Alligator mississippiensis: one gene and its partners. The protein of the gene in region 3 interacts with the protein of the main gene of each other region in a pairwise test. Links are inferred from orthologs where the notes say so. Each region holds a gene or a part of one and is shown on either strand. Other genes may lie near its edges. The genes, in order: BANP, RAD51D and C6H1orf94.

What was found.
Region 1: the proteins of C6H1orf94 (region 3) and BANP interact in binary tests that used the Homo sapiens proteins (3 or more experiments, as listed by UniProt). The two-hybrid records come from large-scale screens. The link is inferred for Alligator mississippiensis from reciprocal best matches to the Homo sapiens genes C1orf94 and BANP.
Region 2: the proteins of C6H1orf94 (region 3) and RAD51D interact in binary tests that used the Homo sapiens proteins (3 or more experiments, as listed by UniProt). The two-hybrid records come from large-scale screens. The link is inferred for Alligator mississippiensis from reciprocal best matches to the Homo sapiens genes C1orf94 and RAD51D.

The regions. Positions count from the first base shown.
Region 1 is NC_081833.1:74,478,766-74,482,512, forward strand, and holds the start of BANP (protein BANP), read left to right. Parts: upstream 1-738; 5' UTR 739-845; intron 846-3,747. UniProt on the Homo sapiens protein: Controls V(D)J recombination during T-cell development by repressing T-cell receptor (TCR) beta enhancer function. Binds to scaffold/matrix attachment region beta (S/MARbeta), an ATC-rich DNA sequence located upstream of the TCR beta enhancer.
Region 2 is NC_081837.1:26,423,063-26,426,809, reverse strand, and holds the start of RAD51D (DNA repair protein RAD51 homolog 4), read left to right. Parts: upstream 1-1,590; 5' UTR 1,591-1,667; intron 1,668-1,899; exon of another isoform or gene 1,900-2,003; intron 2,004-2,074; exon of another isoform or gene 2,075-2,421; intron 2,422-2,519; 5' UTR 2,520-2,588; coding exon 2,589-2,670; intron 2,671-3,747. Other genes in the region: UNC45B (protein unc-45 homolog B), read right to left, coding at 1,239-1,325. UniProt on the Homo sapiens protein: Involved in the homologous recombination repair (HRR) pathway of double-stranded DNA breaks arising during DNA replication or induced by DNA-damaging agents. Bind to single-stranded DNA (ssDNA) and has DNA-dependent ATPase activity.
Region 3 is NC_081829.1:7,532,199-7,535,945, forward strand, and holds the start of C6H1orf94 (uncharacterized protein C1orf94 homolog), read left to right. Parts: upstream 1-1,459; 5' UTR 1,460-1,521; coding exon 1,522-1,766; intron 1,767-3,747.

The DNA of each region.
Region 1 (3,747 bases), on a different chromosome or scaffold from region 3:
GAGTAATATAACTACACTAATGTCTTTCTATTGTAAATAGCAATCATATTGATTTGGAAGGACTTCTTTGAGGTGACTTTGCTGGACTTTTTGAAGGGCTCTTGGTTGGACTTTTTGAAGGGTTTTTGGCTGTGATGCACTATTTGCAGATTTATCCCTTAGGTTGGTCATCTTGCGAAACGTCTGAAGTCGAGGACTGCTTGTATATTTGTCATTCAAAAAAAAAATCTGGATGATGCAGAACTCGCAGATTTATCCCTTAGACTGGTCGTCTCGTGAATGTCTGAAATCAAGTACAGACAAGGTTCCTTGGATGAATTTGATGTCTTTTATTAGACCAACCCAAATGGTTGGAGAATAGTTATTAAGCAAGCTTGTCTGCCTATGTCCTTAGACCAACACAGCTACAACCTAAACCCCTGAAATCAAGTATTGCTTGTATATTTGTCATTCAAAAAAAAAATCTGGATGATGCAGAACTTGCAGATATATCCCTTAGGCTGGTGTATAGGGCTAGGCATCGGATCAGGTCACTGAGGCTGCAGGAACTACAGGGCTGCCCTTCGGACTACAGCGCCCAGCATGCCCCGCGCCCCGCCCGAGGACTACACGTCCCAGCCGTACAACCCAAGAGGCGGCGCGCGCGGCCCTCTGGGACTTGTAGTCACTGGGACGATGAAGGGCGGCTGCCGGGAAGCGGCGGCAACGCGCCTGCGCGGCCTCTCGGGGAGGGGGAGCGGGTGGCGGCGGCGCATGCGCGCTGGCGCGGCGGAGATCTCTCGCGAGGAAGGACGCCATTATCGCAGCCGCTCGACAAACACCACGAGAATTCGGCCCCGCACACGGTAACCGCGGCCCCCGCGGCCGCCGGCTCGGGCTGGGCTCCCCGGGGGCCGCCCTCCGCCCGGCCCGCCGCTCCCCGCCTCCACCCGCCGCCTCCGGGAGGGCCCGCGGCGGGGGAGGGGCGGCTGCCTCACAACCCCCCCCATGCAGGCGGGGGGAGGGGCGGGGCGGACCATTCCCCCCTCCCCCCCGCCTCCGGCCCGCTGGGCCTGCGCCTGGGCCTGGGCTTTCCTCGGGGGGGGGCCTTCACTGGGCGACGTGGGGGGGGGGCGCTCTTCTCTACCGCCTGGCGGGCTTTACAATTATTTTTGGTGCTTGGTCAGCAATTTTTGTGTCCCCCCCCCCCCCCCCCATTATAAATATGTAAAGTTATATTTTAAAATTATTTTTGGTGCTTGGTCAGCAATTTTTGTCTCCCCCCCCCCTTTATAAATATGTAAAGTTATATATTATATCTCCCACCCCCCCCTTTATAAATATGTAAAGTTATATATTATATCTTTATAAAGGGGGTGGGGGTGTAAAGATGTAAAGTTATATATTTATACATCATCTCTTTATAAAGAGGGAGCTGTAAGGAGGGGGTGGGGGTCGGACAAATGGGCTGAGGTGCCCCCCCCCGCCCCGGTCCCTGCACTGAGCCACCCGGATACATGCCCGTCCCCCCCAACTTTGAAGTGTCGTTGGACTCTTGAAGTGCTTTTTTTTTTTTTTTTTTTTTCTCTCTGTGATGTGGTCAAAACGAGCAGGTTTCTCATCAAAGCCGTGTCCTTCTGTTAGTGGTGGGGAGGCGAGAGCGGGGGGGTCTAATTTGCCTGGGTGTGTTTTCATTTTTTGTATCCTTAAGGGAGGGTTTTCGCAGGAGTAGGTTTTAAATCCTTGTAAATTTCATTTTTTTGAAAGCTGTGTGTTTGTTTGTGTGTGCATGTGCGTGCGTGTCCTGTCTCTCCCCCCAGTGACAGGTCCTGTTGAGAAGTGTTTTTGTTTGGTTATTCCTGGGGGGGAAGTACAGCATTTTGTTTGCTTATTTTGTCTGCAGTTTGTTACTTCTTTAGTTCTACAGTTTACTGAGTTTAACGTGTGTGTGTGTGTGTGTGTGTGTGTGTGTGTGTGTGTGTGTGTGTGTGTGTGTGTGTGTGTGTGTGTGTGTGTAGATATCTACTTGGATATCTATCTACATCTGCCTAGACATCTACTTTCATCCACTTGGATATCTGCTTAGACACCTTCACCCGCTTGGATACTGCTTAGACATCTACCTAGACATCCACTTAGACGTCTACCTAGAGATCTATAGAGAGAGTGAGCTAGATAGGTAGGTATCTATATTTTTATAGTTTCATAGTAGCTAGAGTCAGGAGGGACCTGAACAGATCATCTGGCCTGACCCCCTGCCACAGGCAGGAATGAATGCTGGGTTCACAAGACCCCAGACAGGTGATCGTCCAACCTCCTCTTGAATTTGCCCAAGGTAGGGGCGAGGACCACTTCCCTGGGAAGTTGGTTCCAGATTTTGGCCACACTAACTGTAAAATATTGCCTTCTGATCTCTACCCTAATCCTATTCTCCATCAGCTTATGACCATTGTTCCTCGTCACCCCAGGTGGTGCTGGGGAGAAAAGGACTCTGCCTATTTGCTGTTGATCCCCCCTGATGAGCTTGTAGGCAGCCACTAGGTGCCCCCTCAGCCTCTTCCTGCTGAGGCTGAACAGGTTCAGGTCCCTCAGTCTCTCCTCCTCGTAGGGCCTGTCCTGCTGCCCTCTCACCAAGTGGGTGGCCCTCCTCTGAACCCTCTCCAGGCTGGCCACATCCCTTTTGAAGTGCAAATATATATATATTAATTTCCCATATTTCTGTTAGTCTCATATGCAGTAAAGCGGGGAGGGTGGGGAGAGAAACATTTGCTGTGTAAAATGCCCTGTGCAATCACAAATCTATCAATGGGTGCATGTATAGTAATTGAGATTATCTTTAAGCCCTGAATGCTTGTGTTTTCAGTTGCGTACTTTTAATAGTTTCTGTTCACACCATGAATTTATTTCACTGCATATTAAATGAATGTCCTGTAAAATATAACAGAATGAACAATTCTTAATTGGTCCTGAGACGTTGCAGTGAACTTCCGTAAGGATGCCAGGCCTTGCCTTGGCCAGAAGCTCAGACTTGGGTAATATGCCGAGCTGCACGTCAAGAAGAATGACATGATAAATGTTTAGGGCAGTTAAAAGATTGAATCCAGTTTTGATGAATGGGAACATCCTTTTTGTTTCCAGGAGTGGGCATAATTTTTGGCTGTTTGTCCTGATTTCTGATTTATAATAACAGTAACAGCCTTTTAATGTCTGGATCCAGCAATGTTTATCAGGTGGCTGCAATGCAGACCTAAAATGTTAAGGTTCCTTAAACGAGTAATACTATTATTAACACTCAGTGCTACAGAAATCCAATGGATGCTAATTCACTGTCTGAGATGTTTAGCACCAGTATTCCACCAGTTTATATTCTGCTAAATTATTTTTTAATTTATTTTTTAAAATAATTTTAATTATTTTATCCCAACGCATGTTTCATGGACATCAGTAACGTGTTTCTGAAGCATACAAGGTGTGTGTGTGGGGAGGGTATGTATGTACATGCACACATACCAAAAAGGCATCCTGTCGATGTTCTGATTCTGCCATGATCACTTAGTATGCTTCAACTATCTAAGTCACATTTGCAGTGACTTGTATTGGCATCATGTAGGTTGTCTGTAGCCCTTATTATAATAATCATTTTCTCCAAACTTTTCAAGCTGAGTAACACTTGCCCATGAAAAATGAGGTGGAATCACAGAACATCTGCATTTTCTTTTTATCAGCATTTCCATGGTCTCGTATTTTTAACTGAAGTAGAAATTAGGT
Region 2 (3,747 bases), on a different chromosome or scaffold from region 3:
GGGTGGTGGCAGCTGCATGCAGGGTGGGGGGGCTTTGTGGGCAAGCGCTGCTACTGTGGAGCCATGCCCCTTCACACCTGGATCCTAGAGGTGTGGGGCTTAGGGGCTGTGGGGCAGGGCTGGGGGCTGAGGGAACAAGGGGTGCTGCCAGCCCCAGCCGGCACATTGCGGTGGCGCAGGGTGCTGGTGGCTGCATGCCGCATGGCCACCACCATGCTGTTGCTGCCACCTGGCGGCTGGCTGCACAGCTCCAGGCACAGCACCGCAGCGGCAGTGGGAGGTTTTGGAGGCAGGGGCTGTCACCACCATCACGGACCTCCAGGTAAGTGGCAGTGGCGGCCGCGTGCAAGCCCAAGTTCCTGCTGTGGTTGCAGAATCGGCCATGGAGCTGTGCTCTGGCCGAATGCCAGCCTCCCTCTTCTCCTCCCCCAGGCAGCATGTGTGTAGCCTGCATATGGCAGGTACCACCACACCATGCCTCATGTCACTTGCCCGCAACGCCTCCCTGCAGAGGGGCACCCCTGCCCTCACCCCCTGGCCCTGCTCCCAGCTGCAAAGTGCCGCCTGGGGCCGGCAGCACCCCCTTCTCTCAGCCCCCAACCATCTTCCCAGTCCTGCCTCACAGCCCCACTTACCTCCATGCTCCAGGGGTGAAGGGCGAGTCTGAGTCAGATCCGCAGCCTGGCCTTGGCTGCTTCAGAGGCTCAGGTCCTGCCCTCCCCCCTCTCCTTCCCCTCCAGCCAAGGCTGGGGGTTTCCCACCCTTTTTGCAAATCAACTCTTGCAGGCTGGAGCTGTGCCACCCTGCAAGAGCTCTTTGCAAAATTGGATTTCTCTGCTAAAAAGAGAAATCTGCGTTTTCTCTGATAAAAACGGAATCTGTGGTTTTCTCTGTTTTTCCATGGGAAACAGAAAACCTGGATCCCTGCTCATCACCCGCTAGGGAAGGAGAATCTGCCAGGAGAAGGGGTTGATTAGAGATGTATCCCATCTGGGAGCAGAGCTGGCTTTCCACACCCCCTAGTTCTTTTGCTGAGCCTTGGAAACTGGTGCTTTTAAGTCGGAGACCAAGTTCAGTTCTATTTCCAATCATTGATGTTTCTGCAGCTTCCTTGTTACACAACCTTTGCTCTAGGATCTGAAGGAAGGTGTTCATGAGTTGTATATATGCTTGTTTCTAATATAATCCACTGGGTCCTAGTTTTAATAAACAAAAAGCTGTGAAAGGCTTTTTTTTACCCTCTTGTTGATGCCCAGCAAGGAGGGAACAGACTCCAGTTCTGATTTTATGCATGTGGTTATTTTTACTTGCATGAGCAGCCTCATGTGAGTCAGTGGAGCAACTCGTGTGACTTGAAACGAGCTCTGTGCAGAGGGACCCTTTGCTTGCTGGGGAATTTGCTGCAGGGTCAATGACTTCAGAGCCGAGCAGTGGAAGGGCGCAAAAACTCCCACCGAAGAAAACAGACTGGTGGCAAAACCAGGAGTTGGGGGAAGCTGTTGATACCTTTCAGTTGTAGGCCACAGTCCTACCACCAGCCAGGGGCTCACGGGACTTCACCCACCCGGCTCTGAAGGCAGGATCAGGAGCCTTGTGACTCTGGGGAGAGACTGTGCCAGTAGCAACCGGAACAGGATTAGCAAACGGGAGTAATTCACGTCTTTCAGGTGCTCCGGGGTCGCACGTGCAGGCCTAGTGGAAGCGAGATCCGGGCACGGCCGAGCGGGCAGCGAAAGGACGGGGCAGTGTTTCTCGGGGCTGGGATTTGTGGCGGCCCCCTCTGCAGCCGCCGCGCGGGGGAGCCGGTCGCGGCCCCGGAGCGGGCTGGGCGGAGGCGGAGGCGCAGGCGCAGGAAGTAGGAGGTGCCGCGCGGATGGAGGCGAGCGGTGGGGCCGCGGAGCCGAGCCGGATTTCCCTGCGCGCTGGGCTGGCGGGTGTCTGTGCAGGGCTGACTGGCGTGAAGCGGCCCTGGCTGCGCTGCGCGCCCAGCCCTGCGGAGCGAGGTGAGCGGGGGCTGGCGCTTTGCCCGCAGGCAGCCCGGGCTTTCCGTGGGGTTGCAGTGGCCCGACTGCTGCAGGGGCAGGGGCTTGCGCTCTCCGCTTTTTTTTGTCAGACTTGGCCCAGATGCGATGATATAAAGACGCGGATCGTGGGACTGTGCAGAGCCCTTTCCCCACTTCAGAGTTGGGGGCGAGTGCTGACTTCTCAGGACCCCGGTGCAGGGAAGCCCCAATCCCTGACTGGCACCTGTAGATGCTACTGCAAAGTACACCGCGAATAAGTTCATGTGCGACCACCTGCAGGGGCCAGGAGAGCTAACTAAGCAAGCCTGTAACTAGGCTCCTGGACCAGGCTCTGAGAGGGACTCTTCAATTTGGGGCAGAGTGGCCTGGCAGGCATCTACCGCGGTCGGAGCTCCTGGTGCGGGCCACGTCTTTGTTTCTCAAGGTGGGACAAGGCAAGGCCAGTGGCACCTCCGCGTTGCTGGATACAAACCCCTCCTCTTCTCTTCTGTGCAGGGTGCGTGTCTGCATGGTGTTCAGCCTCCCGTCTCCTGCGCCCTACCCCCCTGGGCACGTGGCAGGGCCATGGTGATGCTGCAGGCAGGACTCTGTCCTGGTCTGACGGCAGAGATGATCCAGCTTCTGAAAGCCAGTGGCATCCGAACAGGTAAAAGGCAGCCCAGAGTCTCAGAGCAGGACTCACCCCCCCCCCAGGGGGGGATGAATTGGGAATGGCAGAGGGCTCTCCCCCTTCCTAGGACCCCTGAGCCTGTTCTGATGGTCTGTGCTGTGGGGCAGCCCCTAGGAAGCTACTCCAGGTCCCAGCATGTTCTGTGCGCCTTGGTGGCTGGCTCAGAGTCTAACATTGCTTTCAAGGGACAGGACAGTGGATGTGGTTCATGCCTCACACAGCAGTAGCGGGGACTATGAAAATCCCCATGCTGTAAAGGCAGCCAGATCTGCCTATCTAATTCCTGACCTTGAACATGTTACTTTAGTACAGGGCTGGGCAATTATTTTGGGAGGAGGGCCGCTTACTGAGTTTTGGCAAGCCATCAAGGGCTGCAAGACAGGCCATCAGGGGCAAATAAATATTTTCTAATTTTTTTTAGGGGCACCATGGGCCGGATAGAATGGCCTGGTGGGCTGCAACCGGCCCACGGGTCACCTTTTGCCCACCCCTGCTTTAGTATTTGGAAGCTTGGCATATCTTGGATATTTGAAGTTATACTTTCTGCTAGGCCATTCCTTCTTGGTGCAGCACCCTCATCCCTGCTGCCATTGGGGAACGGGTAAGGCAGTTGTCCCCAGGGAGCATAATGACACCCGGTTCCACTTCTGATCTCAGCAGGGGTTGGTGGCTCTGAGAAGTGACTGAGGGCCTTGTTACTTGTCAGTTGTAGGTAGCTCCTGGAGCTCTTAACCCCAGCATTGTCCACACGTTAACATGTGAAACTAGTTTTAAGCACCCTTTAAGCAGCACAGCTTAAAAATGGACCACCTCAGCTTAGATTGAGCTCTGATCCATCTTACCCAGGTCACATTACACTTATGTTTAGCCACTCTAGGCTACAGCTTATTGTGAACACTCCCCCACCCCTGGTGGCCTGGATTGGATCCACTGCCCCCCTGGCCCCTCACCCCAGTTGAATCAGCACCCCTGTCCTCTACCAGCCATGATTGGCCTGCTGCCCCCTGGAATGGGTCCGCTGCTCTCCTGCAAGCCAAATCCCCATTCATCCCC
Region 3 (3,747 bases):
TATGTAGGATGAATAGTCATCTTCACTGGAGCACCAGAATTCAGGATTTTCTCTTCTGTTGTGCTCCAGGCACCAAAGGGTGACATCACTCAAACATCCGAGCTAGTAAAGGGCAAAAATGGCTAGTGCATGAAGGCAGCATATTACTAAAATAGAAAGTGATGTTCCAGTATCTTGTGTTTGTAAATGGCTAGTGCCTGGTGCTGCATAGGAAAAGTGTTAAAAAGAAACAAAGCAAATATTCATCAATGCTGACAAGCTCCAAAATGTCATAGCTCAGACCCATCCATGAGAACCAAAGGACACTCTATTGGTCACACCATAATAAACGCTTGAGTTCCCAGCAACATCTTCCCTGAATTTCGAGGCAAGTGGAAGGGGAAATAGATGCCCCACGTTCCCCCGCCATACCATTAGCCGCATCCACGGAGGGGAAGTTGTAGAAAGACGCACAGTTCTGCAAGGAGCCAGTCTATCTTGTGGAAATGCATCAACCTAAACAGCAGGAGCCATGTGCAGTAAACCCATTTTAACTTGTATACATCTCCAGCTCCGCTGGAAACGCCAAGAAAAAAAAAGAATCGGAGCTAGTTCTTTTGCACAGTCCAGGACAGTGGGAGAGATGCTCCACTCCTGGCTCCAAGCATGCAAAAGACTCAATGAAGACAAGGGAAAGGATGCCTTGGACCGGTTTGTAGCGATGGTAAGAGAAAATGGCAGGAACAGCTAGTGATATTATGCTAGCACTTGAGTCCTGGTCCCAGACAAATCAGAAGAATCCAAAAAAATCGCCAAAACAGACAAACAGCTGGATGGGGAAGAGGAGCAGTAAAGAGGGTTACATTGGCTGTCTAAGCTCAAATAGCAACCAAGCCAAGCGCAGAGCGTAGGTTGGACTTCATGCCAAAGGGCTCTCCACTGGACCCCACTGTTTGCTAGGACCTGGCGCAATCCAGGGCTTAGAGGTTAGTGAGGAGCACCAGGGAGACGCACTGCTCCCCCCACAGAGATCAAGGCACTACAGGACATCCATACCTCCTGCCTTTGTCTCTTCTAGCATCCCCTGCATGCCCACCCCACCTCTTTGCTTCAGCCTATACTGCCGAGGATAAGAAGGGGACCCAACATAGGCATCTGGGAAGAGACACAAATGTCAAGGGCCACAGGGATGAAGGAGCCCCCTGGGCACCAGGATACAATATGAAATTAATTCAACCTAAGGGAGGAATCAGGGCTGTTTTAAGATGCGGGCTGGCCGAATCTGCAAGACGCCTCGGCGGCTGCTGCTCTCAGTCTTCCTAAAAAGACCTGGCGTTCCCTTTTACGTGTGGTCGGGTGGGTGCTGCTGGGACCTCGACAGCTGCTTCTGGTTGTTATCCTTCATATCCGTTGCCGGGCCCGGGGGTTCTGCGGTTACCGAGCTACCGCGGCTTGTTGCTATTCATTCCGTTCCGTACCCGCAGGAAACCTTTCTTTGAAAAAAAATTGGCCTTCGGTCTCTGGGTGCAAAGAGACGAAGAGATGCCCACAGGTGAAAACGGGCCCCAGGGTCCGACAGTAAGCCCCAAAGGGCCGTTCCCTCTGGGGCCGTTCCCACGGCACATCTGGATCCACCACAACACTCCTCAGGACAGCTTGGACAAAGCTTGCCATGACATCTGGAAGAGGGTTCAAGGTCTCTCCGAAGATCTCCAGCCTACATCACCACTGTTCCTCCAGCCTACCTGCCCCCCAGAGCCGCCAGAGACCCTCAGGGCCTCCCAAGAGTGAGTGATTTCAAATTGCCACCCCCTCTCCAATTCAAATGGCTTCTCCCCCCTCTTATGCTTTGTGGCCCACAGCAGGTTGGGATCCGGCATAAAAATACATGAAATGTTCTTTCAACATGGTTGAGAAGAGAAATTGGGGGGTAGGGGGTGAGGTGTGGGTGGGAGGGGAAGAGGATTGAGAAGGGGTTTATTTTCACAGCCCAAATCACAGAAGCTGAAGAGGATCCTTTTTCTCTATGCAAAATGACGTCCTGTGATGTCTAGCCACATCTAATTCTGAAGCACAGTAAGCAGCTGCTGCATTCAGTTCCCCACAGCAGCTTTAAAAAAAAAAAAATCAAAATATTTACAGGAAGAAGCAAAAGAAGCATTCAAAAGAGCAGAACCGAAAATTAAAGTGTTATAAGGAAACTACTGTAAACAGCTGATCTTTACAAAGAAAAGCTGGATTTGGCAGAAAAAAAATTCTCTGCCAAGTCTCGCTCCAGAGGGTAAGTTGTGGGGAGGAAAGAAGGTACACTCTTTAAATTAAAAAGGACAATATTTATAGTACATTCCTGCAGCAGGAAAAAAAAAAATTGTCAAATTAACAAACCCAGCAATTAATTAGCTCATGTTGGCAACTTCCCAGGTCTTAAACAAAAACACAACATACCAGTAACAGCTGTACAGACCTGGTCCATCTTAATCTGATGCAGTAAATAATTGTTAATACCAGAATTCATGATGCCTCCCAAAGAGGCAAGTTGGTACCACCATCCCCATTTTACAGATAGGGAAACTGAGGAATAAAAGGAAAGTATTTGGATCAATGGCACACAGGGAAGTAGTGGTATATCCAGGACTCGAAGCCAAGAGTCCCAACTTCCGCATCGTTTCCTTCTCTATCCAAAATGCAGTATGGACTTTGTAGACGGTATCGCACATTGAGTCACCGTTCTCCTTTAGCATCTGCTGAAGTCAATTGAGTCACACCAGCACATAGATGACATGACAGAACTGGGCCCAGACATCTTTATGGACATGTGAAACATGTACATCTCAATAATGCACTCCTGGAAGATGCTCCATTAGTATGGGCAGTACAAGACCCTACATGCAATTATGAAATATTCATCTGAATTTTAATGAAAAACCCCATTTTTAAGAAATGAAATGATTTTTAGAAGAAACATACTTTTGAGTTTTATAATTGATGTAGCAGGTACAGCAAGTGCAGCCAGCTTTCGTAATTCCTTGCCCACGCGCTACGCAGTTGCACCGAATTTGTCACACTTAGGGAGGAGACAGGAGGATACCGCAATACTCTTCCTTTTGCATTTGCAATCTCGGGCTGTCCAGAGGGTACAGCGTATGATGGGAGATGCCTAGGAACAGGGGTGACCCATCACATTCATTTTCTATCCATTAAAAAAAAAAAGAAAGAAAGAAAAGAAAAGTGGGGTCCAGTAAATGGGGTACCAGCCTTGGTCCCATAGGATTTGTATTCTACTCATACTTCTATCACTGACTTGTTGGGCAACGTTCAGCAAGTCATTTCTGTTCTTGTCTATCTGACTGTAAGCTCTTTGGGGCAGGGCTGGTCTTGTTCTATGTCTGTACAGCTCCTAGCATACAGAAGCTTCATTACAAACAGCCAACTGGTCTTTCAAGTACCTAATTTACTCGAATATGATCCCCCCAATAATAATTTTCCAGGTATAGAAACTAATTATTGAAGATGCGACTTGAATTTGTCCACCTCCTACTGCAAGAGCAGGGAAAATAAGTGTGTGTGTGTGTGTGTCTATAAAGTGCCCCCTTGCCCTCTGCCCCCCAAATTCTTCCCCCTGAAACCCCTTACCATCAGACACTGCTCTCTCTAAACACATGCAAAAGTGAGAGGCAAATCTGAAAATGCTAACCTTGATATCAATTTGCATATAGGCAGATGACTATAGATTCTCATACCCATAGACTTAGTTCATCCAGAATATAT